4 linked regions of the Lytechinus pictus genome follow. The protein of the gene in region 3 purifies or fractionates together with the protein of the main gene of each other region. This does not show direct contact. Links are inferred from orthologs where the notes say so. Each region holds a gene or a part of one and is shown on either strand. Other genes may lie near its edges.

Region 1 (7,699 bases), on a different chromosome or scaffold from region 3:
GCGGTTATACGGTAGTCAACAATAAATAAAAGCTTAATTTCTTACTCTTCACCCTTATTTCACTCCATGTCCATCCTCCGGTCATCCTCAAAATTGGTGATTTTTGGCCAGTAAAAAATATTATATTAGAAAAATATTATGAAAAGACGGAGGAGACTTGCCCGATATTTTCGCCACCATCTTGTTTCCTATTGTTCTTCCCCATCGTAAAGGACGCACGCGTCCGTAGCATTGGGGGAAGATTTATAGGAATGCAACTAAAATGGATAAATGACAGTAATCATATTTCAATTTAACTATTGCTTCATGATACATGAATATTAATGTTACTAGATTTTACTTTTGCAACAAATATTTTCTGATTAAAATATGTGTATTGAATATGATGTGATCTAGGGGTGGGACTAAAACCCGGGTCCCGCCTGGAAGCCTCGGGTACCCGGGTAGAAAAATCAATACCCGATACCCAAAAATTGCTCACCAGTATAACGTACATGTATTTGATTTGCATTGCGTAGTGTTAGACATGATTGTAACTCATCACAAAAGTACATTAGTCTCATTTTGAATATCACCAATTACCCTCGAAATATCCATAAATATACAAGTTTTTCAAGTGATGATGTGACTGAGATCGTTCAATCGTCGCCATGTTTCTTTTGCAGCGCCAGCCAATTATGTTCGTGTACCATTTTCAGTTCATCATAAAACCAAAAATGGTAACACGATAGTGATTGGCTGGCTTATCTGATGCTCCGAAACCTGGAAGTCAATTGACTTTGTGCACGTAGCGATAGATTCTACAAACTCATGAACACGATGTAATATTGACGCTACTTCGTAAGATTTTGATGGAAAAGCAAGAAGTAATCAAAATTTGCTTACCTGTGTGGTATCGGTGAGAAAACAGATCCTCCGAGAATACCTTTCATAATTCATATAAAATATAGGAAAGTGGAATTCTAGGTCGATTTTGGTAAGAGGTGACAGAGTATTGCAGACTTGTTTCGATGGTAAACAGGGTGCTACATAACTTTTTTGAAGCACTTGCCCAGTCGGGCAAGTAAATTTTCAAATAGTTGGAAAATACTTGCCCGAATATAGATTTCACTTGCCCGAAAAAATCCTTCAAAACAAAGTTTTATTGCTTCAAAACAAGTTATAGCCTTATAGTTTTACATACCATACCATTGACGGCTTTAAAAATACATTTTTCAACATTACAACTGATGTACCTTGTAGTTGTACCGGTATTTCTTTTTTTTTAATGATTTTTATCTTGAAGATCATGACAAAATGAATGGTAAATATGCTCTTTACTTAATTTCCTAATCTCATATATTTTCCATATATTTTGGAAGGGACTAGGACACACAATAAATAAAGGGGAAATCACTGAAAATAACCAGAGAAAAAAAATGAAGAGAGGGGGAGAGAATGAAAGAAAAAAAAGTAAGAAGAAAGACAGAAAGGACGAAGAAATAAAGGAAGGAAGAAAAAAAAAAGGGAAAAAAAAGAAATAAAGAGAGAGAGAGAGAATGGCTGCGGGGAAGAGAAAGATGGAAAGAAAGAAAGAAAGAAAGGAAGAAAGAAGGGAAAGGAGGATGGAAAGAAAAAAAATAGGAAAAAAAATGAGAGGAAGAGAAAGGAAGGAAAGAAAGGAATGAATAAAAGGAAAACAAGAAAGAAAAAAGGTAAACAGAAAGGAAGGAAAAGGGAAAGAAAGAAAACGAGAGAAAGGAAAGAAGGAAGATAGGAAGAAAGAAAAGGTATAAGGATAGATGGAAGGAAGGAAAAAAAGAAAAAAAGAAAAGAAAGATACAACGAAAGACAGAAAGAAATGAAGGAAGGAATGAAGGAAAGAGATGAAGAAAGGCAGAAAGAAAAAATAAGGAAGAAAAGAAAGGATGGATGGAAAAAAGAAAGATCAAAAGAACGCAAGACAGAAATAAAGAAAAACAGAAAGAAAGGAAGGAAGGAGAAAGAAAGAATGAAAGACAAAAAGAAACGAAGAAATGAAGGAAAGAAATAAAGAAATGAAAGAATGAAAGGGATGAAGAAAGTAAGGAAGAAAAAAAGACAGGAAGAAAAGGTAAGAATGGATGGACTGAAGGAAGACAGTAAGAAAGAATGAAAGGAAGGGGAAAAAGAAGGAAGGATTAAAGAAAGAGGTAAACAAAGGTTGGATGGAAGGAAGAAAGAAAAAAAGATAGAAAGAAAAGAATGACAAAAAGAAAGACAGCTATAGTAACAGAAAAAATGAACAAAAGAAGGAAGGAAATTTAAAGAAATAAAGAGAGATTCAAAAGAAGGAAATATAGGCAGAAAGAAAGAAAATAGAGAGGAAGAAAGCTCAAACTATCCAGTCATAAATAAAGAAGAAAATTTATCAATTTCCTTGGCTAAAAAAAATAGTTACGAAAGAAACCACGTTTATCAACATACACACAAATGCATATGTGGGACTGTCAAACAATGTATTTCAGACGATCAGTCGAAACCCGATCTTTTTGAAGCATAACAGCAGTGAAAATTTCTCCTTTTACTGCTTACAAATGACAGAGCTACCCCAATTTTTAGGAAATATGGACATTACAAGAATTTTTATCGGTGAGAAATGTGAATTTTGACAGTTCTGTGGGAGATTTCTTCCAGAGCAAACTTCGTTCGTGCAGCACCGTACACCGTAGAAACTTTACTACATGCATCGGCTGCGTGGACTAGGCGCTAGCTAGCTAGGTATGCTAGACTGCCATTCTGTGTGTGTGTGTACGTCTCTGAGCTGTGTGTTTATTGCACAAAATGGCGCAAATTCTGCAAAATTTCGAATTATAAACTTTTTTGAAAGAAGAAATTACGGTAATGATATTGCTTTTTTTTCTCTTTTTCTTTTCTATATTTTGATGGGGAATCTTTCTAAAATATAATTTCCATAGGAGAATTTTGCTTGCCCGATTCGGGCAAGCAGTTTTTGTCTTTGCTTCAAAACACTTGCCCGACTCTAACTTTTACTTGCCCCGGGCAATCGGGCAAGCGCTTATGTCGCACCCTGGTATACTACGCATAGGACATTCACGGGAGGCTTGCACTGCTTACTATATTTTCATTCATAAATTGGCTTGCGGCGCAGTGGCTGGATGACTCCACCTATGAGTTTTTTCCACCAGTCATATTTCATGCGACATGATTTTCGGGTACCCGCCCGAAAATTACCACGGGTACCCGAAGACAAAAATACCCGAAAGTTCCAGGCCTAATGTGATCTTTTGCATTGAACATATATAAATAATATGTCATGTCTAGAATTATGATTCATACATGTATGTATGCTTTTACACTCAGGCTACTTAGTCAAAGTGTTTAATCACTGTTAAAACGACAGTTAAAAGAATAAAATTATTTCCAAGTCTGACTTGTTACTGTGTGACTGTGCCCAAAATGTTGATGAAATTTTACATTTAACATCTTTAAAGTCATGAAATTTGCATTTTTTTTCCATATTTCCTTGAAATTGTTTTTATTCAGTTACATGTACCTCTATCAAGAAAATGAAGAATACATGTAGGCATGAAGAATACATGTAGGCATGAATTGCTACATCTCTTAAAACAGCAATATGCAGTGTAGATATCTACACTTGCTTATGTACGCTATAAGTTTTCATTTTCATTAGAACATGGAGAAACGTAATAATATAATGCAACAATAATTTTTTTTCATAATATTGGATATAATTGACGCCTTTGGCAAGGCGTCAATCCACAATTTGCCACTCTCCACCCAGGTGTTAAATGGGTACCCGGTAGGATGCGAAAGCCTATGTAGTATGCCTAGCAATTGAGTCTTGGAACTCTTGTTGGAATGCTCCCCAGGGAGTGGAGAAGGTGCATACATTGTATGCGGGCATGCAAGGATCCGATGACTGGGGTGATAATATATCTGTAAAGTGCTTAGAGACGTCGTTTCGATGTGTTAAGCGCTATATAAATGCAGAATATTATTATTATTATTATAAATAGATCCTTAAATGGGGGCCTTTGGGAAAATAATTAAATATCAATCCTGTGATTGTTATTAAATGTTCAGTGATTGTATCAAACCAACTGAACTATTATTACTTTGAATACAGCTTTGAAAATAGTTTTTAATCAAGGCGACTCATTTGCCCCATTTTGATGTGCAAATAAGGCGCGCTGACAACAATATTTAAGGCTCATTAATATGCAAATGGGATTGATTAGATCTTATATTTCTATTGGATAATGTATGTCTGCTGTAGACCTTATATTTGACATCTAATCATGTTTCTACTGCTTTGCATTAAACAAATATGAGTGGAATTATGAAAAATGGGGCTTTATTTACCCCACTCTCCCCTACCCAGTATGAATGCTTGCCTCGAGCGTCTGATCAGGGGAGTCAGATTCAAGGAAATTTGTCAGATCTGACAACTTGTTGGACAAAACTGTTGATCAACAGCTCCCCAGGATAGCCATACTAAAGCCCAGGTAATAGTATGCATTGCATTAAGAGCTATATAAAGTTGCATATTATTTTTTCATCAAGTCAGCACTGCTGCTATATTGAATTAGACAAGTGCTGCAGGCGAGACTGCCAGAAGCTTTCCACTTGTTAGATTTTGTGGTGTGAAGTATCCTGTCATTTAATTTTTTACTTTATCTTTACTTTTCTTTAGATTTAGGATCAAAGCTTGATACAACAGAGTAGGGAGAGAGAGGATCATAATGATTGATATTACTGTAAAGACCCTGGATTCACAAACCAGGCAATTCTCTGTATCAGAGGATGTAAGTTTGCTTGATTTATTTCTTCTCAATATAATAATGAATGATAGTGGTGGATCCAGGTAGGGGCACATCCAGCCCATGGCCCCCCCCCCCCTCCACCCTTTGAAAGGCACAAGAAGATATCTTAGGGGATTTTGTCATGCATACGCATTTCAGGACTTTTTTTTTTGCTTGTCATATTTTTCCTGTACAAAATACCCCCCCCCCCCCCTTTAGAAAATCCTGGATCTGCCCCTGATGATAGTGATAATACAGATTATGTCAGTGATTAGTAATAATAATTAGGAGGTGCAAAAGCTCCATTGATGAAGCATTTGGTTCTGTTATCCAGTGAACATAGGTTTGATTCAGAGTTGATGTGTTATTGTCCTTTAGTGCCAATTGGTAAGGTATTGACCCTCATTTAATATTAGGGGCCCATATCATGAAGGACTTTCAACATATAACTTACCATTATGGTAGCTACTATGGTAACCGGGCTCAGCAGCCAATCACAATCAAGGTTTCCATGGTAGTTGTCATAATTGTAAAGCAACCATAGTTGTAACTCTTTATGAAAGAGGCTCCATGTCCTTTTTAGCAGACTTAAAATCTTCAAACGGATCCTCTGGTTAATTGCTTACTAAAATTCATAAAATTCATACTTTATAATATTATAATTCATAATGTACAATATTGCATTTTATTTTCAGTTTACAATACCACTTTAATTAGCTATGATAATTTCAATTGACAACAACATGTTAATTAACAATGCCAATGTAATTTAAATGAATGGGAAATGATAAAAATTACACTTCAGCAAGAGATGATTCATATATTAAGTGTATAGAAAAATCAGGAAACATTTATCGTTAATACAACATTTATATTGAGCAAATTTGTATGATTTCTTAATTCATTCTCATTGTTTAGATATGAATTGGAAGTATTTATATGTATTTATACCTTATTTATTTTCTTTAATTGTAATAGTTGACGGTGAAGGATTTCAAGGAAAAGATTGCAGGTTCTGTGGTAAGATATTTTCTCCTATCACTTATTTACAAAGAAGAGTAGCACTGTAGGCCTACATATATCATTAAAGGAATTTCATGTGAATTCTTCAAATAAAATCCTTCAATGACTGTATATACATACGTAACTCACAGGAAATGAATGTTCTTTAAGAAGATCAATTGAGGCCATGGGAATTACAGTCACAGGATTGATTAATTCATCTAATTGGCTTTAAGCAAAACTTTCAGCAAAAGTAAATGGCTTATTTTGTGAGTAACCTTGATTGAAATAAAATTATGTTCAATTTTCAACTATACAATCATTACATGTGTTTTCAGTATGAATGTATTGAGTAGTAAATTAGTGTGTTTTCATTCAAGTGGGTATATTTGACAAGAATGTTGCATTATGAGTAAGGAACCAGGCCAGATTCAAGTAGTTGAGGACTTTATGTGGTGCGAAACAAGGGTGCTGGCTCATAATTTGCTTTAAGTAGGATTCGTTTTGTTAATGTAATCTCTTTAACATGATCGCTTTCAGGGCATTGCAGCTGCCACTCAACGTCTCATTTACGGCGGTCAAGTCCTCAAGGATGAGAAGAAGCTGTCCGAGTATAACCTCCATGGAAAGGTCATGCATCTGGTGGAGAGGGCGCCCCCACGACCTGCAACCACCAGTGCGAGTGGTTCCCAGCAACAGAGAGGCGGTTCTTCCACTACTTCTGCCCCATCTCAGCAGCCTGGTCTTTCTGCAAACTCTAACGAGGTTCAGGTATGTATACATTGATTAGCGATTGATTCAAAGACATGATTTTGGAGTTTTGAGGCCATGAGACATTAATTTCTCATTTAGACTGCATATAATTGACTCTGCCTATTAAAGACAAGACCAAAAGCAAAGGTCAGCAAAGTATTACACCATCTCTGATATTCAAAGATTATAGTAGCAATGACATGTATGCTATGCTAGCAATATGTCAAGGGCCTTTATTCAAACCCTCCTCGTTTATTTTTGTTGTTCCTGGTTTCAGTGATTGATTCATCGTTCTAAGTAATCAGCTGTTCTATTATCCAATGACCATCCTCATTATTTAACATTAATCAGGTGGTTACAGCCTTTCTCCAAGTTTTTCTTCTCCACATTTGTTGGAAAAGAATTTGTAATCAGATTCTTAGAGATCCATTTTCAATTCAAGTTTATTTTTCTCTGCATAAAATGAACAGAAAAATAATAAATTACATGTGGAAAAGACAAAGAATACATAACACGAAAGACATAGAAGTTTATAATATTTATTGATATTTTCCAGAATTCTTATTTTTTATATTTCATTGCTGACATTATTATACAGCTGTTCAGTAAAGACCTACTTTTAAAAAAATATAAATTTTTCAAGATTGAAAGAAATAATATAACTTTCATTGCATATTCATATTAATTTTTAATTTTAGAACATCGTACAGCACATTCTAGGAGCTATGGGAGACTTGGGGCGCAATGCTAGAGTAACATCACAAGCATCAGTAAGTTGTTGAAAGACAGTTATGGGGACCGTTTCATGAAGTGTCTTGTCGATGGTTTTCATTGGCAACTGTTATAAGCTACTGAAATCCTTATATCTGATTGGCTGAGAGTTCATTTATCATTGACTTTGACCTGGAGCGGTCAGTCTGATGAGTAATTAATCGTAGCTCATTGATATATGTCTGTAAAACGCAATTACACACATATTCTGTGCTGTAGCTTTTGAATAATGCAAACTTGTAAATTTAATAAAACTTCAAGCAATAGAATAATTATAGATGCTACATGTAGAAGTAACTTCCAAAAGCTCTTGGCTTACTTTATGACTTCTGTTGGTTTGTCTTGTAATTGATCTAATGTGAAATAAG
Region 2 (7,645 bases), on a different chromosome or scaffold from region 3:
TAGGTTGGTAAGTTGGTAGGGGTTTATAACATGCAATTCATAGTTGCAGCATTATGGACACCGGTGAAACAAAATCCTTAAGGTTCATTACAGAACAATGTGGTGTGCAAATGAGTGGCCCAGCTATATCATACATTCCTTTTTTATCTCATAATAACAACTAACAATATTTATATCATTTAAAAATGTTATGTTCTGATAATGTAGGCTAGCTCTTCGCAGTTCAACATAAAACATGAATAAAAGAAGTTTCATTAACAGATTTTTATAATCATATTATATACATGTACATGTTTGAGCCAAAATAGTTATAATTTCATATCATATACATGTACAGGTACATAGAAAAATTGATTGTCTGATGACAATGTGGCACTAAATATACCTATGAGGCTTTGAAGACCTTCCCACCTTCCCATAAATCGCAGTGGGTAATTGGGGGTAAATTACCACTTGGCCTACACCCGCTTTGTCAACTTTCTGCTTGGTTTCATCCCACATGGTGTAATTCTAGTTTATCTACAACCAGTTCATCTACTAACCATTTGGTTTAATTGCTAATAAGTCCATGTACTGTACCATTTTGTCTCATTTCAAGTTAGGCTTTACCCATTTTGTCAAATATCCACTTGGTCTAACACCACTTAGTCTAGATATGATTAGATAAACTATTCATGAACCAAATTTTAATTTTACAAAACGAAAAATAGGGATTAGATTAAGTGGAAATTAGACTGACCGGGCATTAGACTAATTGAGAATTAGACTGGGTATTAGTCTAAGTGTAGTCTAACCTAACTGATGGTAGGCCAAATGGGTTTAGCCCATGTGGTATGAGACTATCTGAAAAGTAGCCAAATCTATTGCAGACAAAGTAAATTATAAACCAAACTACTTACATAAGCATTTGGATCTAAAGCAACTGGTTCTGGTTCCGGAGGTTCTATCATCTGGACTCCTGGTCCTCCTTCCTCCTCCTCCTCCTCAGATTCATCAGTCATTGGGGTTTCTTCAAAATGATAATTAAAAGAAAATCAAAAGCTTACAGATATTCATGCTACTGGGCAATTCCATAAAATATGTACGTCCGACCCCCTATATGTGGGATCTTCATGAAATTTTCTGTCTCTGATTTTGGTTCTTTTGAAAGACTGTAATGCTCTCAAATGACCATGACTTGTTTATGAAGTGGAGTAAAACTTGAGAAAAATGGGGGTCGGACGTACAAAAAGGTTGATTATTTTATGGAATTGCCCTACTGTCAATTTTTTTAAAATTTATATCCTACCTACTTTAAAAAAATTGTCAAATTGGTTTGTTAAATAAAATTATTTTATGGCGAAGCTGTACAATCAGACATGTAAAAGGTTTACATGTACCGTAAAAATTGCAAAAACAAATTGTTGAGTCAGCAGATTTATATTTAGAAAATAGATTGTATTTCCTTCCATAGAAATCAAACAAGTGAATAAGAACACTCCAGAAAATGTTTTGTTTAGAATCTTTTTGTTACAAAATATTGTATTTTGAAAGAGGGTGTGTACTTCATTTCAAACTTTACACCAGGTCATCATAATAAGGAAAATACAATTTTTCAAAGACTGTCCCCCCCCAAAAAAAAAATGGGAGATACATATTACATTCATGAACAAATCAATAAAATTTTGAAATTTATCAAATACTACTAATCTAAATGAAAAATATTAGTGAATTTATTGTTATTTTTTTACAAAAACAGTGGGTATAAAAAAATAATTAGCAAAAAGGGGAGCCTAAATGTTCTATTTTTAATGAACACCATTAAACATAATCATCATCAGAACAGATGTACAGTATGAAACTATCAATAAAACATCTGATGAGAAATAAAAGTAGATAAATACAGTAATTTAACAGCAAAAACAATCATATTTATGTTTACACAACTAACACAAGCAAAGGATTTTATTCATAAACAATTAATCACATATCAATCCTAAATACAAAATTAAGTGGAGATTAAATTGTAGAATGTAGATTATTTCACTTCAGACAGTGATATCATCTTTCAGTCAAATAAATTTTTAATGAAAACTTTTTAATAAAAATCACTCCTTTTGATGACATATAAAAGAGAGCTCTGTAACATTAGGCAACAAAGATTAGTGAATTTCATCACTTTCAGAAGTATTTCATCATCTCTATTCTTCAAATCATCATGCTCTCTTCTCTCTCTCTCTGAAGTCCGAGTCTGATCTGTCTCCTGGCCTCTTTTAATCAAACTTTATCCTCTTCTTTTCCAACATCAATTCAGAATTAGAAATGCAATCAGAATTATTTAACACTGGGCCAACATGCAATTAATCACATCAATAAAATAACATGCAAATAATTACAAAATCCACTTGATGTAGTTACGTCCAAGCTCAGAAGGCCAAAGCTATTATCGACATGTGCAATTTATTATGCATGTAACTAATTAAGCGATATCACGTTTCCTTGCTAATTTGAATTAGAATTACACACAAGCTTAATCACCGTAGATGAACGCGGGAGTGTTCCCCTAAGTGTGAGACTTGAAGTCTCCACAAGAGCTTGTTTTCATTTTTAAAGAAATAATCCCTCACTTTACTGTTCTTCTCACGACAAATATACATACATGACATATGCACATCATTATACCAATACACTAAAATGAAAGAATACAAGCAAATATGAAAAATTACCATTCTTTTCCTCCGCCATTCCGTCTTTTTCCGTTCTTTCTTTCACACAGTCACAGCAGTCGACTCGAAACGAATTTTGATGACAATATGGTATCTCTAATTGAATTGAATTTGGGGGAAAAAGAGGGTTAAATAATATGAGGAACTGACGAAACCGTTAATCGGGGGGGGGGTCAAAATTCCGAGTTTAATAGTCGTTGTGAATATTTATTTTTGATAGATTTATCTCTTCATATTTGAAACACCACGAATGTCTAGAAAAAAATTACACAAGGCCAACATTATCCCCGGACTCACTCTGAGTTCCCACATCATAATTTTTTTTTAATGGGGATCGATCAACCTTGGGATGACCGCGCCGAGCAACTGTAGAGTCAGTGACATAACTACGGGGGAGGGGGCAAGGGGGGCTGGCAAGAAAAAGAGGAGGGAGAAAAAGAGGGAGAAAGGAAAAGATACGTAGTGGGAAAGAAGAAATTATTGTACATTATAATATGTTATACTATATTATATAATTATGTTATATTACATAAGAAATATTTTTTCATAACTTTGTGAAACATAATTTGCTCAGGGCTCGCATTGTCTTAATTTTTAACGAGATATATAATCCTGCTGTACTAAAACATCCAGTTTTCAAGTCAATATACACATTTCCTCGCACTTCGAGTTATTATTGTTTTATGTAGCGTTTCATGACTACACAAAGTGATTGCTCCCTTTTGAGGTCTGAATATAAACATTTCCAGACCGTGCTTGCGTTCGCATTATTGGATTGGTGAGATATGTCTGCTCTTCATGAATTCCTAAAATCAGTCCTTAAGAATGTCCCTTTTTATGATCTGAATATAAAAAAATTTGAGCTCGTGCTTCGCGCTCGCATCATTAATTTTGGTTATTGAAATACGTATGGTCTTATGAATTCCCCGGGATGAATTCCTACAAACAAGCCTTAGAATGTCCCTCTTCAGGTCTGAATTTCCTAAATTTTCAGCTCGCGCTTCGCGCTCGCAATATTATTTTGAATAGTGAGATGCGTATGTTAATCATGAATACAAAAATGCTTCATGTGTTTATATGTAATTCTACAAAATCAGCAAGCGCTTGGCAGCAGGCTCACATTAGATGACTATGGTGAGATATATACTGTGAATCGATTTCTAAAAAATAATCCTTAAAATTTCCGTTTGGACTCAATATATACGAAAATTTCAGCTCACGCTTCGCGCTCGCATTATTAGTTAGCGAGACAGATACGTATCATGATTACAACAATTTTCTTATAATGTCCCTTTTTATGTCTGAATATCACAATTTTTCAGGTTGCCCTTCGCGCTCGCATTATTTGATCAGTGAGATACATATCCGTTTAATATGGCACAGTCCTTAAAATGTCTCTATTAGGTCAGTATACCTGGAAATTGAGCGTGCATCGCGTGCCCACTAAGTGACTCAAAATTTTTGATGGTGCCCCCAATGCCTTGACCCACGGTACGCCAGAGTGTACTGATGTACAAGAGGGATCAGGGCATGGGATGAAGTCCTTCCCTCCTTTGGCCTTTGGCACTTTCTGTTTGTTAGAGTGTGGGGTAATGAACCGGGTTTTTTTTAAGTCACTTAATTGTGAATGCAAATTACGTTTTGATGAAAACCTTTGAGATCAAAATTTTGACATAATCCGCATGTATAGGCCTACCTATATATCTTCACGTATGTCTTTTCTTTTCAGTTTCCCCCTTTTTCTTGGTATGCCCAAAGCCCACCCCCCCCCCCCCTCATTAGCCAGTGGAGGTATCTTTCTTTTCTTTATTCGTCAGGCCTAGTATAAGTTTAATTGCATTATATTTATTTCAATATTGTAAAATATTATGCATTCTTCTATTTTCCCGGTATACCCCAGCTACTCCTCTACAACTTTAAATCCATATAGCTGTTATGTCTGTCTGTATCGGAGGAGGGGGGTATTTTGCCGCTATAGAAAGCATGCTGCAATGATATAAGCAACTGCTTATAGGACGTACGGCTGGTATATGGTTTCATTGTTAGATGGTTTAAAAAGCATTTTCCAGCATTTCTCTTAAGCAAAATATACCACTAAGTAAAGTATTTTCCTTCACCAGTTATCAGAATAATAGCTCGAAGAACATCCATGTATTATAGGCCTATATTTAAAGAATCAGTTTTATTACGAGTTCTTTCATGCTCATCACGCTCATGAAGCAATAGATGAAGTCAACCGTTATGGACAAAATATTGTATATTAATATATACGATGATAAAAATTATATAAATTAAGTAGAAGCAACATTGTAACCAGGGGCGGCATCAAGATATTTTGATGAGGGCCGGGGGCTGGGGGCAAGACGATTTATATTATTGGTCATTTTCATTATTGAATTATCACCACGGGTATAGAGTTATCATAATGATTGTTATCTGCATATTTATTCTCGTCTTTATTCTCATTATCTTCCAAGTTCTTCCTTTCCAGTCTTTTCGGGATCAGTGCAGCACAGTTGGTTTAAATATGCCAGGCCTTATTTGTTTTATCCAGGGGTAGTGTCCGGTAAATAATAAAATCTGAAGTGTGTTCTGAAACTATTTCTGGTCAACAACTGATTAGACTAAACAGTATAATATTTCATGATGGCGTGACATATCGGCTACTCAATCTCATTTTTTTCCCAAGACTATAGTATTTTTCTCAAAATTTCATTGATCCTATTCTTTAAAGGTCAAGTCCACCAAAGAAAATGTTGATTTGAATCAATAGAAAAAATCCAACAAGCATAACGCTGAAAATTTCATCAAAATCGGATGTAAAATAAAAAAAATTATGACATTTTGAAGTTTCGCTTATTTTTCACTAAATAGATATATGCACCACTCAGTGACATGCAAATGAGATAGTCAACAATGTCCCTCACTCAATCGTTTTTTTTTTTAATTGTTTGAATTATACAATATTTCAATTTTTACAAATTTGACAATAAGAACCAACTCGACTGAACCACAAAATGTTAAAAACAATGGTAATTCCACAGATTCAGTGAGGAATAAAATTCCTTTCACATGACAGTGAGGAGAAAATCAGAATAATTCACATTTCTTTTAACAAAATACAAAAGAAATGAGTGAGTTGGTGATGTCATCAGTTGCCTTATTCGCATACCAATAAGGATGTTAAAATAACTGTTTTGTGAAATTAAGCGAAATTTGAAATTGTTATACTTTCTTATTTGACATATCTGATTTTGATGAAATATTCAGTCATGCTTGTTTGATTTGTCTTTTTCTTTTCAAATCAACTTTTTGTTTGGGTGGACTTCCTTTAATGATTTGTGTGTTTTCATACAAACTTGTTCAAAAGGTTTCATTCATTCTCCTTCAACCATCCAATGCAGAGAGTGAAGAATATTACCCAGAAGGAAAAACCAATTCCACTGGACCAGTTAGACCAGTAGAATTTTAACTGGTAACTCTGGAAATTGGAACATCGGTTTACTGGTCTAACTGGTCATACTGGTCCAGTTAAAATTTTACTGGTCCAGTTAAAAATTAAACTGGTCTTGAATTACTGGAATTTTATACTGGTCTTGATGGTGATTGTTGTTACTGGTCTCGCTGGTCTTCATACTGGTATGTTCTACTGGTCTGACTGGTCTTTGAACTGGTCGAACTGGTCCTCGTACTGGTCTTACTGGATCAATTTATTACAAGCATTTGGTTTGTTATATACCATGGTCAGTGAAATGTGATGGAAAAGACGGTTAGTAAATTAATCTTTCTGCTGTTATTTAAATGTGATATATGAAATTACACATTTTCATTGTGGATTAGTTCACACACTTATTTAGAAAGTTTTTCAACAACAATGAGTGCCATTGCAAGGATATTCCATTCTAAATCCTGATTTTTCTTTTAAAAACAGGAAATATGCAAATGAGGTAAACCACGTGATCAGCCATCATCAGAATTACTGGTATTACTGGTCTTGACCAGTTCAATATCAAACAATGAATTACTTTAGACCAGTTGACTATATCAGAGGAATATATCTTGCTTTGATCTTAATCATGATTAAAGGAGATAATTATTTTAATGATAATGTTAATACTTGATAATTATGATAATATTAATAAAAATAATTACAATATCAATAACAATGATAACAGTAATAAAAATGATAACAATGATCATAATAATCATAATGATAATAATTATAAGAATGATGATAACAATGATAAATGATAAAGATGATAACTTTCTCTGAATTGCAAGATTCATTTTCCATAATTCGTCAAAGGATCTGACTTGAAATAAAGTCATTATTTATTGGACCAGTAACACCAGATTGACGAAAAAAGAATTAACTGGTATTACTATTGCTTCAACTGGAGTGCAATTGTTTGAACTGGTCTCTGGTTGATTTTTACTGGTCCAGTTAAAAATCAACTGGCCCAGTAAAAATATACTGGAAACCAGTAAAAATTCTTACTGGTCTTACTGGTTTTTCCTTCTGGGTAGTCACTATTTTAGTGTTTTAAATGAGTAATATAATGACCATGGGCTCTGAGATCATATAGGTTACATTTAATTTTGTTCATTTTAAGTTCTTCAATTTTTTTTAAAGTGATAAAGGGGCCTAAGAGATATAATTTTATTCAAACCAGTCAGGTGATATTATATAAAGATTGGCAAAAGTATATCATGAAAGGTTTATAGACCCAGAAGAGGGAGAGCTTGAAAGGGGATCCTTAATGAAATTAGTAACATAACATAACATAACGTACATAACAAGTATATAAAACATAAAACATTATAGCAAGAATATTGATTATATATATATATATATATATATATATATATACAATGATAGAAAGTAAATAAAAGATCAACCCAATTAGACATTTTGTAAGCTCTCTTTTTTTTCTTTTCAA
Region 3 (6,853 bases):
TTAAATCCCTGATTCGCTCCACATTTCAAAATTCATGCGGTAACCGTTACCATAGAAACTAGTTAAGGAACCTGATATCCACTTGGACTAGCTGCAATGAGGTATTAATCTGAAAAAAATGAACATTAGTTGCTATTATTATATCATTTACATTTAACTATATATGTATCATATCAATATCTATTCGGATCCATTATCATGTTGAAATATGAAAATTTACTTTTACTACAGAACGATTTGTTGTTTTTCTGTTATCCAAGTTATGCAAGTGGTTCAAAGAAATCCCGAACTCGTCTATTTCAGTGCGTTAATGGTAGCGCACATTGGTGTTTACATTACAATTCGTTTGGTACCATGTATGTGATGAAGTGCTGTTCTACTATACGAACTGGCCAAGATAAATCCTTTCATCACTAACTAATTTAAATCATTTTGGCGTGAAAATGTTTGAGTTTAATCATATCAACGATAAAGTATATACCTAAAATGAAAAAAAATCCAATTAATATTTCATCAGTTCATAATACTCATTTTGTCGATAGGAGTCCATTCAAGGTCAATAATGATGACTGATGTTAACTGGAAAGGTTCGATCCTTGCTGATCTAGCATACCTCTGTCATTTTTTCCTCTGCCATTATTACCTCTGCCATTTTTACCTCTGCCATTTTTACCCGGCACCGACTTTCAAAGGGGGGGGGGGGCACACCTATCTAAGAACGGCATATACATTACAATTTTTATTATGGCTCTCAAAAAGGGGACACGGGCCGGATGTGTCCTAGTCCCCCTGGATCCGCCAGTGCACTTAAAAAATAAAGCGAGCGCGAAGCGTGAGCTGATTTTTTTTTAATATGTATTATTATTTTGACCTATATAGGACTGGGGCATTCTAAGGAAATTTTGTCATTATGTGAAAATAATGACTATCTTCCTTTTCCTTTTCTTAGTACGAGATGAAACTTGTTTATATTTCATTTTGAAAAAAAAATGACAATTTAAGAATTCATGAAAATGTTATCATTTTATTCATTAATCTAATAAGCCTCATGAGAGAGCGAAATTTGTTGATATTAAGGCCAGAAAACTTTTAAGCACTCATTTAATTATGAATCAGATGCATGGATTGTATCATAACAATAATCATGAAAAAGGGATTTAAAGTAGTTTGTTAAAATTAATATAGGTATACATAACTCACTAATTAAAATGCAAGGACGCAGCGCTAGCTGATACGTTTTGACAATCATACCTGAAAAGGGATATTTTGTTAAATTTATGGAATACACGAAGAGAATAGGTGTACTTGACAAATTAAATAATGTGAGCGCGCAGCGCGATCGAGCTGGAAATGTTGATATTCAGACCACAAAACGGACATTTTACAGTCATGACAGAACACTTAAACAAAAAATTGTTAATTAAACAAGATAATGGAAGCTCGATGTCCGAAAAATGTTTTGTATATAGACTTCAAACCTTGATATTTTAAGCTCCATATCGGCCTATTGAGCAAGATATGCATCTCATTGAACAGGCAATGCGAGCACGACGCGTGAGCAAAAGTTTTATATTGTGACATGAGGGATTTAAACAATTATTTTTCAAGTCTTATTTACTCGTCTTCCTCCTCTTTTTTCCTTTTATTGTACTTTTTTCTCTTTTCCCTTCTTTTTCCTTTTTGATCTTGCTTTTCCCCTTGTTTTCTTGTTTTCAGTTGCTCCGCCATAAAAAAAAACATGGGGCATACGTCCCCCTTAAAAAAAGTGTGTGTGTGTGGGGGGGGGGGAGACGTGTCCCCCTGTCCACCCTGGGATTTCCATCAATGAGAAAATAACATCATATATTTCACTTTTCCTTTACTTTGTTGTTTGTTCTTGGTTGTGTATTTTGGGGGCCATGGCCCAAACCCTTCCATCTGATGTTTAAGACAGACCGCTATTTCAATCAAATCGCGGGTATATTACACAGTAAAAACGCTGTTTAAGATTTTATACAACGTTGTTTACTATATGAACCTTACAGTATTTGTTTAACCGTTTAAACAATCATGTTTAATTTATTGACAATTAGATATTGAAAATTAAACTTTATTGCTTAAGATTTAAACAGTTGTATAAACAGTTTAAACAATTACTGTAGGTTCATATAGTAAACAGCGTTGTATATTTTTTTTTTACTGTGTATAGAGGGAAAACTTTTACACAGCACATTAATTCGACGATGTGGGAAAATTTATAAAAAGTCGCCAGCCTTTTGTCTTTGGAAATGTAATTCTAATTTTGATGATTTTTACATTATATCATTGTTTTCCATTCATTTCATTTATTTATTTTATTTCCCCTTGGTGGTGATTGATGGAATCACCCCGGCCCCCTCACTGTACGCTATAGTGCTTGAACGTAAAGCGTAATGCAGGAAGGGTCCGCCGGGTACAAATGCCCCGGCCGTTGTAGAGCCGATTTGAAGGTTACAAATGAAGAGCCCTAGAGCCCCCGCCGTAGCTTTGGAGATTTAGCCAAAGTGCATTAACATTAAGATGTTTTTACGGTAATTCTTGCCAGCATATAGCTTTACTGAAATGTAGGGGCAGTAGCTAGCATACGCAGGGGGGTGGTGCTTGGGATTATAACCCCCTGTTTTATACACCCCCTAAGAATTCAACCCGCCTTAGATTTGTTTTTAAGACCTTGTTTTGTTTTTTTGCTTGTCATTTTTTTTTTGGGGGGGGGGGGGGGGTAGGAAACGACCTGAAATTGGTGGTGAAGACCCTTTTTTAGTGGGGGGGGGGGGGGTCGTCAACATTTCATTCAGCTTGATACCCCCCTTAAAAATAATTCGACCCTACTGGGCAGCCCTGTCGAGTTATGTATTAGAAGTTCTTCCTTTTTTTTCTCGTCCCTTTTCTTCATTTTCCAAATTAGCTAAAGTTCATTTCCCGATTTTCTTTATCTTTTAATTTATTTCCCTTTCTTATCAATCATGCTAATGCATAGTATTTCGGGATGATTGTTTCTTTCTTACAATACATGTTCTTCTTTCCTTCCTTTTCCCGCTTTCCTTCCGTTTTCTCTTTTCATGCTTTTTTTTTCAGGCATAGGATCCCTGCTGGCCTCCGCCACGTACCTCCGACTTTTGGCTTACCTAATGGCAACCATAATTGCCAGATCTTTAAAAAAAACAACAACAAATTTATAAGATTAAAAAAAATACTGTTTTTAAAAGCTTTTTCATTTCTCCTTTATTTTTTTCCTTTCCCCTTTTCTCCCCCTCCCACCCGTACCTTTACTTTTTGTCTTCTTTTCATACCAGTTAGTCTCATACCATAGAGATGTATACTAGTATACATCTCTATGTCTCATACACGGAAAAATTATTTCCGTGGTCTCATAGGAATGACGCAATCTTTATTTCTAGAAATTCAAGCATAGTCTGCTAGCAAGAGTAGACTTTTTTTTAAAGTAGAAACCAAAATAAGAGCACCCTATCTCTATAAAACCGTCACCATTCTTATCGATCTATCCATATTTTCCTCTAGAAATACGATATACAGAAATATTTGTCAATATTTATTTTACAGCGCAAGAATGGTATTGTGCAATCGTTTAATATGACAAAGCTGGTTCGGCTTGGTTTTTTGTTTTCTTTCCCCACTCTGTAATAACTATTGTATTTGAAAATAAAAACGTATCGAATCATATTGTTTTGTATGTAATTTTGAATTTATTATATAAAATTTATCTATATTAATTTTTACATGATCGTGTAATCATCTAATTTTATATGACTGATTATTTGTAGTGCATTTATCTCTAAATCACTATAAATGTTCCGCTTGATTGCTCTCGGTATATATACACGTGTATTAGTTTGGTCCGTGAGTCTTGAAGATAAACTAATTATTTCATATGCAGCAAGTTTGCGATTTCACTGTGAAGACGAATGCACTTGCTGTTTTCTTGTTTAAATCATCAGAAATATGGCTGAAAATTCTCAGTAAGAATTTCATATCTTTATTTTGTTTAACTTTATGTATCGAAATCACGTGTGATGTATTTTGCTGCTCTCATGAATGAAGAGAATTTATTACTCGGATCTGGCTTTGTTCATATTCGGTCATCACACACATTTTCAATTTCACGAAGTCATTGTGCGTGTATGAGATGATGTGAGTGACCGGCGCGGCGAGCTTTTTACAGCTACCCACGTACACTACAGACTACACTCTACAGTACAGGCCAGTGCAGCGCCAGCCAACCAAAGTGCGTGTGTGTGTGGTTCACTGGTTGGAACTACCCCTTAATTATCGACCACCTAATTTTCTAAGCATCGTATCAGCGAAAATATTTCTCAGTTTTTACCTAGTTTTCGTCTCAATTGTGCAGAAAATTTAGGAGATCAGATTCCCATGTTTCGTCTTTCGATTGACGATCCGATTCAATTCGCGTATGGTCGGGGGTCCTAAAGCTGCGCGGGTCCTAAAGCTACGCACCACTCATAGCGCATGCAGTTTTTTATGGCAAATGCGCACTCTGTGTGTGGAACTGTGACTGCAGAGTGACGAACGATTCCTAATCAATTTTTTTCTACAGAGGTTGCAGTAAATCTCTAAATGCAGAGAAAACAAACAACTATTTGGATTTTTGGAGTTATATTCGCTTTAATTTCATTTTATCCTATAATAATGTGAATATATTTTAGAAATTGAGGCACAGGAAATACTTTTTTTTTGCATGATAAATCGAGTGCGTAGCTTTAGGACCCCTTCTACATCGGGCGGCGAAATCAAGAGGTGTTCGGAAAACACGGCGGGATTTTCGTGTTAGTGAGTTTAGCGATATTTTCTTCTTGGTTAATGATCTTTATAATGTTTGCCACAAATTAGTGAAAGATAATTTGTTGAAATATTAAAATTGGGATATTTTTTGTTGTTTGAAAACAAAGTGCGTAGCTTTAGGTCCCCCCATCATATATGGTATATCGGCAAAAAACTAAGTAATAATACGACGATTTTACATTTGCTCATTTGCACCCTTCTTTTAAAACCGACCACCCGGGATACACTAACCGTTCAAGTTTACGGCCGATTCTTGTCGCGGCGGCGCGGCGAAATATTTGGACTCTTCCAAATCAGTAATGTCAAAAATGATCCTCTCACTACCGTACTGGTACTTCCACTGCGAGCTCTGGCACATGATTCGAAGATTGACGACGGATTTGTTCTAAAGCCGTTTCCTATCGGATTTCTTGGTATGAACAACTGTTTTTCAGCGGGGTTCGGGTCTAGTCAAAACAATTTTGATAAATTCTACTAAATTTCTACCCCCTTTCGTTTTCTCTCGTAAAATCGATTTTTACTGTTCCTATGGACACTGCGCCTACTCTCCCGCGTGCATCGTTTGTAATGTGCAATGATTTTAATGCGCGCAAGGTGGTCGGTTTCAAAAGAGGTGGTGATGGTCTCACTATAACGTTAGGCCTATCTGGTAACTGAATGTAGATCTACGTCATCTAGTACCTCGGTCACATTTGCTCTACGGCGGCCGTACGGCGAGTCGAAAACAGCCGTTTTAAATTTTTTTTGTACCAGCTACATATAGGTGGTTTGAAATAAAATTAATAAAACGGCCGTATTCGACTCGCCGTACGGCCGCTGTAGAGCAAATGTGACCGATGTGTTACGTGGTCATGACTAGCCAGGAGGCTCCTAGAGAGTAAAAATCATTTACTAACGTATGCTTACTCTCAACGGAGCCAGGAATTTCTTCCCATTCATCTGCGTGTACCGCAAAAAAACCCTGAAACTTTCGCCCCCGAGATTTCTACTTTCCTTCCAAAAGATCTAGCCCTTAATCATGTACATGGGATACAACTTCATTTCCGACATTTCTACGATATCGATTTCATTTTTAAACAAGAATTAATTCAAAAAAATATTATGAAAAGACGGGAAAAACTTGCCACCGTGTTTACGTCGCCATCTTGATTTCACTGTCTTTTGCGTGGCGACAGCACGCAAACCGCGCGGAGGAGCAAGTTAATGAGTTTTCATAACTAGATCTATTTTTTAGTCCAGTTGTGATCGATGCAAAATGGGATGAGAGATGCCTGTGTGTGATGGTGCAATAGTTCATCTAATTTTTAAGTTTGACAATGTTTCACTTTGAGACTTATTCATTTCTAAAATATTATAGTTTTTCGAAATCTTTAAAATATATTTAAAAAAAACCAAATATCATTAAGATTTTTATTTGATTGGATTTTTTTTTTTTGCTTGTAGTTTGAACCTTTTCCCTTTCTTTCTTTCTTTCTTTCTTTTGTTCTTTCATCTTTTTTTTCTATCCTTTCTTCATCTTTCTATCATTCCTACTAATTTACCTGGCTTTTTTTGTTCCATCTATTATATTTCCAATCTTTCATAGCTTTCTTTCCTGATCCTTTCTCTTCATTTTTCTTTCATTCCTTCTTTCTCTTACTTTCCTTTTTTTTCCCCCTTTTTTGTTTCCTTCATTCTTTCTTTCCTTAAACTTTTCTTTGCTTCCTCCTTTTTTCCTTACTTTGTTTTTCCTTTCTGTCCTTCATTTTTCTTTCACACATTTATTCATTTTCCCTTCCGTTCTTTTCCTTTCTTTCTTCATTCATTTCAAAGAATGACAGAAACCTTATTTATTTGTTTTATTATTTCTTCATCCTTCTTTTATTTTTAACTTTCTTTCTTTGTATTTATTTTCTTTTTTCCTTCATTTTCTTTACTTCTTTTTTATCTTCCTTTCCTTTCAAATCATCTCTTTTCTTTCTCTCCTTCATTCTTATGTTCACCCTCCCTTCCTTTTCTTTATAATTTTTTTAAACAA
Region 4 (7,476 bases), on a different chromosome or scaffold from region 3:
TATAATGCAAATTAACTTTCAATACCCAATAAATTTTCTCGCTTGGTCACTTGTTTCTATAGCTGTTATTCTGACTCTCTTTTGTTATCAACACTGGCGTACAGATGGAGAGGGGGAGTGCTTTTGTGGGCTGGAGCCCTCATAAATTCCAACCATTTTTTTTTTCAATTCCCTCGAAGTTATATATAAAAAAATATGAATATATATGTACATGTATATATGTCCGTGTGAGGGTGTGTCAGTGTGATGGTGTGTGTTTGTGTGTGTGTGTGTACGCGCACTTGCCACTTGTTAATATAAACGAATTGAAGGAATTAGGGAACTCGCTCCACATACCCGAAATTTCTTTATGGATCAATCTTCCCAGGAGGGTGGGATCACAATTTTTTTTTAACTTTAGGACTAGCCCCTTGTTTGTAACCCTAGATTGCAAATATGTGAAACCCCCTACAAACAACTGAAAGCTCTACCAGGAGCAATCTTTCTATTTGCTTTCAACAGGCAATCTTTTTCCATTATATCATTCTCAATATTTTTAAAACATCGAGTATATTATAGGAGTGCGGGCAACTAAAAAATTCAGCCCTAGCCCTTCTTAGTATCCAAAAATTGAAATGAGGTTTAATAAACTTCCTACAAACAACCGAATGGTCTTCTAGGAGCTATATTTCCGTTTGCTATCAGGAGGTTTTTTAATTTTATTTAATCCCCAATTACTGTCAACACTAAAATAAGGACAAAAAAGGATATAAATAATATATAGGAGTGTGGGCTACTGAAATGTAGGCACTAACCCCCCCCCCCTTTATAAACGAATTAAAAGAAGGGAAACTCCCCTCCACAAACACCCGAAATTTCTTTTAGGAGCAATCTTCACTTTTGCTTTTCAGTCAAGAATACTTTCATTTTTATTCACCCCTCAATAGTACAAAAGAAATACTTTTTAAAAGGGCGCAAATAATAAGAGAGGGCCAGTGAACCTTATCAAAGGACAAGCCCCTTCATTCTATCAATACAGTGCGTATCAATAAAAACTGGACAGTTTTGAAAAGTCTATCAAAAATTCTTTTCAAATTATGATGTCTATATTTTGATGTTTATAGATGCTCTGAAACCTTATATTTTAAATGCAATTTTAAGAAATGAATTTTGTTCATGCTTGAACGAACACGAGATTTGTCAAGGGTTCAAAAATAGGTTTGTGCAGAAATGAGAGGAAACAAAATATATGGTCATAAGACTTCCTGCTAAGCAGTAAACTTCCTCTTAACATTTTCATTATCTTTGCCATTGTTTTTAAAATTATGTTTCAAAATTCACTCACAAACTTATTTAGTTACTTTTAAAAAAAAGTTATTTTTTAGGATTGCATATTTAATAATTAATAAAAGTCAACCCAAGAAATGCCTAATTGCATTTTTTTTGGGCCTCAATTAGAGGATTTTATTTACAACAAAACAACATAACACATTATGAAAATGAGCATACATGACATTACAGGAAATTTCAGAAATTAAAACCAAAATTTACATAATAATGTAATTGTGCAATAATCTTACGTAATCTTTAACATGAATTAAAAAAAAACATTAAATGGAAACATGAAATTCACAGTGTTTCAAATATATTCCATAATTTCTTTGGGTAGATGAACATATCTTTTCCTGTACCGAGGTTTCATTTCTATTCTTCTTTCTATTTCTCTTAAAAATATGAATTTCAGATCCAGTTTAATTTGACCAGTAAAATTATTACTGGTCCAGCAAAAATTGTACTGGTCCAGTTTAATTTGACCAGTAAAATTACTGGTCCACCACAATTTGTACTGGTCCAGTTAAATTGGACCAGTAAAGTTATTACTGGTCCAGTTAGTTTGACCAGTATATTTGTTACTGGTCCAGTTAAAATTATACTGGTCCAGTTAAAGTTGACCATCAAAAAATTACTGGTCCATCTTATAGCAGACCAGTATATTTTGTTCCAATTTCCAGAGTTACCAATTAAATTTTACTGGTGTAACTGGTCCAGCCGTGCTGGTTTTTCCTTCTGGGATTGCCTCTCTTTTCGTTTCCACTCATGTTTCTTAAAACGATGACTTTGTGAATGCACCAAAGTGCGATAGTCAGAAGTAAAACTAATTTTTCGTCTACTTCATGTTTAAACAAAATTTTAATGATTGATTTCTAAATCTTTATGAAATATTTGCTGGATTATTTTTTTCAAAAATTCAAAGAATGGTTTGTTCAAATCACAAGAAATGAAAGCGTGATGAATATCTTCCTCTACTTCACAACGAGAACAGATGTTATCATTCACCAAACCCCTAATTGTTAATTGTTAGTTGTTAATAGGGTGAATTTGCTGTACTTTATTCAAATCATTATAATTGTGTGTTAGATAGGATATTAAATTATCAATTCTAACAGAAAAGGATTTATCTGCTTGTTGCATAAAATAAAATGGTTTGAATTGATTACAAGCTCTCAAATTCCTAATTACAAATTGGGTCATTCTTGGTTGATAAAAAATGTTAGTATGAAAGAATATTAATTGCAAAAAAATAATTTATTGAAATGAAAAAGTAAAGTAAATATACAGCTTTGTACGTGACATTTGCGACCAAAATCTGAAAACTATGGCAAAAATAATCTGCTGATTGGCAAGAAGTCTTATAACCATACACTTCATTTCCTACCACTTAGCGCAATCCTATATTTGAACCCCCGACAAAACCATCTCGTGTGCACTCAAGCATGAACAAATTAAGAAAAAAAACATTTTGAATTTGATCGATAAGATTTCAGAGCATCTATGAACATCAAAATATAGACATCATAATTCAAAAGGGTATTTTGATAGACGTTTCATAACTGTCCCGTTTTTATTGATACGCACTGTAAAATTGAATAAAAAGGGTCACTCCCTTCAAAAATACGATAGCTCTCTTCATTTATCAGGAACTTTTTTTTAAAAAATACTCCTCAATATTCTTAAAACTTGAGTATATAGAAGTGAGGGCTACTAAAACTTAAGTACTAGCCCTTTCTTTTTGTTTACAAATTGAGAGATATTAACCCCCCCCCCTCCACAAACCCAAAATATATTTCAGGAGCAATCTTCCAATTGTATTTTATAAAGAGGACTTTTAGTTCAAATTTACTCCTCAATATATATAAAAACGTGGAATATATACGAATGTATATGAGTGTGGGCTACAAAAACTAAGGCAGTAGCCCCCTGTTTTTCTTTACAAATTGAAAGAAGGGAAACCCCCCTCTACACACCCAAAATATATTTCAGGAGCAATCTTCCAATTGTATTTAATAAAGAGGACTTTTAGTTCAAATTTACTCCTCAATATACGAAAAACCCTAGATATATAGGGGTGTGGGCTACTAAAACGAAGGCACTAGCCCCTTGTTTTTCTTTACAAATTGAAAGAAGGGAAACCCCCATCTACACACCCAAAATATATTTCAGGAGCAATCTTCCAATTGTATTCAATAAAGAGGACTTTTAGTTCAAATTTACTCCTCAATATACGAAAAAACCTAGAGTATATAGGGGTGTGGGCTACTAAAACTAAAGCACTAGCCCGTTGTTTTTCTTTACGAATTGAAAGAAGGGAAACCCCCCTACACACACCCAAAATATATTTCAGGAGCAATCTTCCAATTGTATTTTATAAAGAGGACTTTTAGTTCAAATTTACTCCTCAATATATATAAAAACGTGGAATATATATATACGAATGTATATGAGTGTGGGCTACAAAAACTAAGGCACTAGCCCCCTGTTTTTCTTTACAAATTGAAAGAAGGGAAACCCCCCTCCACACACCCAAAATATATTTCAGGAGCAATCTTCCAATTGTATTTAATAAAGAGGACTTTTAGTTCAAATTTACTCCTCAATATACGAAAAACCCTAGAGTATATAGGGGTGTGGGCTACTAAAACTAAAGCACTAGCCCGTTGTTTTTCTTTACAAATTGAAAGAAGGGAAACCCCCCTACACACACCCAAAATATATTTCAGGAGCAATTAATCTTCCAGTTGTATTTTATAAAGAGGACTTTTTGTTGAAATTTACTCCTCAATATACGAAAAAACATAGAGTATATAGGGGTGTGGGCTACTAAAACTAAAGCACTAGCCCGTTGTTTTTCTTTACGAATTGAAAGAAGGGAAACCCCCCTACACACACCCAAAATATATTTCAGGAGCAATCTTCCAATTGTATTTTATAAAGAGGACTTTTTGTTGAAATTTACTCCTCAATATACGAAAAAACATAGAGTATATAGGGGTGTGGGCTACTAAAATTAAAGCACTAGCCCGTTGTGTTTCTTTACAAATTGAAAGAAGGGAAACCCCACCTGACCCCGTTTGTTTGATTTGTGTACAAGAATGCACGCTTCTCTTCGTGCGCAAAATCCTGTATCTGATCTATCTTACATCGCGATATTGTTGGCTGGAACTGTTGGCTGGCTTGCTGTTGGCTAGCTTATTGTTGGCTGACTCTACTCCGGCAGTGACATCATCATTCACCTTTAATAAGCTTTTGATCACAAATACTGAGTAACACAGTAGGGCATAGGAAAGACAGAGGAAAGGTCTTCTTTGAAGGTGAGAAACTGCACTTCTGAATGTTCTGGAAATTGTCAAGGCGTCAACTTTGCTTTTGCTTTCTTCACTTCAGTCCCTCTCGTAAGGATCTGCGCTGGGCCAACTCCCTTAAATATGGCAATGGCAGGTTTTCGTCAATTGCGCGATTTGCGGCCGGTTGTCTAAACATTCAGTTAATATCTAGAAAATCTGATATCATAAACACAACAGAAAAAAGCAGCCTTACACTTATCACAGATTATTTACAAAATGATTCAAAATCATGTTGTGGTGTTTGGAACCACTCGTCTGCTCGTCAATGTGAATGTCAATGACATTGTCATTGACAGTGGGTGATTTCAAAATTCAAGTATGGTGAGACTACCACATATCGACCACCTCTTTTGAAACCGACCACCTTGCGCGCGTTAAAATTATTGCGTATTACAAACGATACGCGCGGGAGAGTAGGCGCAGTGTCCATGGAAACGGTAAGAATCGATTTTACGAGAGAAAAAGAAGCAACAAAAAGTTAAAATTTAGTAGGCCTAGAATTAATCAAAATTGTATTGACCAGACCCAAACCCCGCTGAAAAACCAAGAAATCCGATAGGAAACGGCTTTAGAACAAATATCCGTCGTCAATCATCGAATCATGTGCCGGAGCTCGCAGTGGAAGTAGTGAGACAATCATTTAGCATGTTGACATCATAGAACTGATTTGGAAGAATAAAAATATTTCGCCACCGCGACAAGAATCGGCCGTAAACTTAGTGTATCGCGGGTGGTCGGTTTCAAAAGACGGGTGCAAATGAGCAAATGCAAAATCGTCGTATTCGTTGTTCGTCGATATATACGCGGATTGAATCGGAGTCGCCGAGCGAAACATGGGAATTTGATCTGCTCAATTTTCTGCACAAATGAGACGAAAACTGGGTAAAATTGATGAATATTTTCGCAGATATGATGCTTAGAAGATTAGGTGGTCAATAAGGGGTAGTTCCAACCATAACTGTTATTTAGTAACTTAGATCTACGGTGTTCAGTTTCGGTGTTGGTGTTAAGCGTGAAAAGGCTGCTAAACCGAGCTCCAACACCGATCTGGGTTCAGAGGAGCGATACCGATCGTGTTATCGATAGCTAGTAAGATGTCACGCCTCTGCCCTGCGCTGCTGATCATCTCAACTTCACGCGAGAAATTCTCGACGGCGGAAGTGAAATCAGGGAGAAATTGCAATAAAATCTTATTGTACAGAATGCAAAGATTAAAATTACTGCAAGAATCGGAAAGCGTAAATATCATTTTCATCTTAACTGTAAAAGATAATTTTACAGGGATGTTTCATTGTGTTCACCGCCTGTTCATGAGCTACAGTTCATCAACACCGAATTTGAAATCACGATTTTCCCAATCCCTGGGGGTTGGTGTTGGTGAATGGGGAAATTACATGTAGATCGTCAACACCAGCTGTAATGTTCAGTTCAGCAGACGAAATTCAACACGAACTGCCGGAAATACATCATATTTTCTGAGGTCAATCCCAACACCTGCGTGATATTTCAAGTACGGTGTTGTGGCTGGTGTTGATGTTTTCACAACACCAACACCAGATTTCAACACCGTACTTGAAATCACCCAGTGGCGATGCAATGTAACTTAACCTAAAAGCACAATTTTATTGTCATGTTGTGAAATTGTGTTAGAAACTATTAGTTAGATGAATCAAGGTGAAAGTAGGCAACCAGTTGTCATTATCATGAAAATTAGTCTTCTTGTGTGTTTCGGTGAGTGTGCGCTCACGGTGTAATCATGTCAAATGGAGGAGAACACTACCGTACTAGGAGTGTTCACGATGAGTAACTCATCCACATGAACGCCTTGCCCCAAGGCCAAACCTAAAGGATACCCCCAGGGACATCGGCAAGGCTTCCATATGTCCCCTCCACTAAAATTGAAAAAAAAAATATGGAGAAGGTTTATCAAGAATTATCTAACACATATCTAAGAGATTTAGGAAGGTAAAGTTGGATACATACCAAAAAAAGGCTTTATTCCGTCAAAATCTTGAGTGTGTAATTTCCAATGGCATTGGTTTATTTAGTCAGAAAAGTGAATACCCAATACTATTGGATATATCGGTTGACAACCGTTATGAAACCCATGGCTTTCAACAATTCCTGCTAGCTCAGTGAGTAAGGCGACAGACTGGAGATGCCATGTGCTGCAGCAAGAGGTTCAAATCCAAGAATCCAACCGGAAGTAAGAAGGAAAAAAATAAGAAAAAGATAACGAAAGAAGGGCGTTTGGAGAAGTACTTTTTCAATTAGTGGAGGGGACATAAGAAAGTCTTTCCGGGACATCATATCACACTTCTCAACAATTATGTGACATTGAAACGAAAAGGCATCACAAATACACTTGAAAGTAAACGAACAAAACATACAACAATACAGCCATAGGCTGTTATAAAAAGATTTATGTTGAAACTTCAGGTTCATTATTATTTGGAGCTCCTATTTCGTCAAATATGTATTTATGTTAACTTGTTTTGTTTGTTTTCTCCCCACTTATTAACAGGGATCTCATCTTGTTGACGTAGCCATGTCACTGAAGCCGAGGATTGTGAATTTTGAGGAAACTTGGGGTAGGCTGCTAGAGACTGTCCAGACGGTCATCCAGTTGGGAGACATCAAAAGGGCCACTTGGAGCGACAGATTTCCGTATCCTTTCTTTTTGTCACTTTGTTGAGATAACAGTAGAGGGTTGTAACTCGTAGAGTACCAAAGTGTGATGTCATCAATTTTCACTGTTTGCATGTCAGCGTTTTTGATACCATATTTTGGTAGAGTTTGATGAAATTCCTGAAAT

What was found.
Region 1: the proteins of transitional endoplasmic reticulum ATPase-like (region 3) and large proline-rich protein BAG6-like purify together in Homo sapiens (affinity purification with western blotting; 4 studies listed by BioGRID, with this or other methods). This does not show direct contact. The link is inferred for Lytechinus pictus from reciprocal best matches to the Homo sapiens genes VCP and BAG6.
Region 2: the proteins of transitional endoplasmic reticulum ATPase-like (region 3) and protein phosphatase 1 regulatory subunit 7-like purify together in Homo sapiens (affinity purification with mass spectrometry; 3 studies listed by BioGRID and IntAct, with this or other methods). This does not show direct contact. The link is inferred for Lytechinus pictus from reciprocal best matches to the Homo sapiens genes VCP and PPP1R7.
Region 4: the proteins of transitional endoplasmic reticulum ATPase-like (region 3) and cullin-2-like purify together in Homo sapiens (affinity purification with western blotting; 3 studies listed by BioGRID and IntAct, with this or other methods). This does not show direct contact. The link is inferred for Lytechinus pictus from reciprocal best matches to the Homo sapiens genes VCP and CUL2.

The regions. Positions count from the first base shown.
Region 1 is NC_087259.1:30,465,155-30,472,853, forward strand, and holds the start of large proline-rich protein BAG6-like, read left to right. Parts: upstream 1-4,677; 5' UTR 4,678-4,745; coding exon 4,746-4,808; intron 4,809-5,783; coding exon 5,784-5,825; intron 5,826-6,347; coding exon 6,348-6,578; intron 6,579-7,258; coding exon 7,259-7,330; intron 7,331-7,699. UniProt on the Homo sapiens protein: ATP-independent molecular chaperone preventing the aggregation of misfolded and hydrophobic patches-containing proteins.
Region 2 is NC_087258.1:4,634,180-4,641,824, forward strand, and holds the start of protein phosphatase 1 regulatory subunit 7-like, read right to left. Parts: upstream 3,006-7,645; 5' UTR 2,725-3,005; coding exon 2,706-2,724; intron 1,010-2,705; coding exon 900-1,009; intron 1-899. UniProt on the Homo sapiens protein: Regulatory subunit of protein phosphatase 1.
Region 3 is NC_087255.1:27,478,319-27,485,171, reverse strand, and holds the start of transitional endoplasmic reticulum ATPase-like, read left to right. Parts: upstream 1-3,827; 5' UTR 3,828-3,978; coding exon 3,979-3,995; intron 3,996-6,853. UniProt on the Homo sapiens protein: Necessary for the fragmentation of Golgi stacks during mitosis and for their reassembly after mitosis. Involved in the formation of the transitional endoplasmic reticulum (tER).
Region 4 is NC_087257.1:3,623,981-3,631,456, forward strand, and holds the start of cullin-2-like, read left to right. Parts: upstream 1-4,450; 5' UTR 4,451-4,628; intron 4,629-7,185; 5' UTR 7,186-7,209; coding exon 7,210-7,328; intron 7,329-7,476.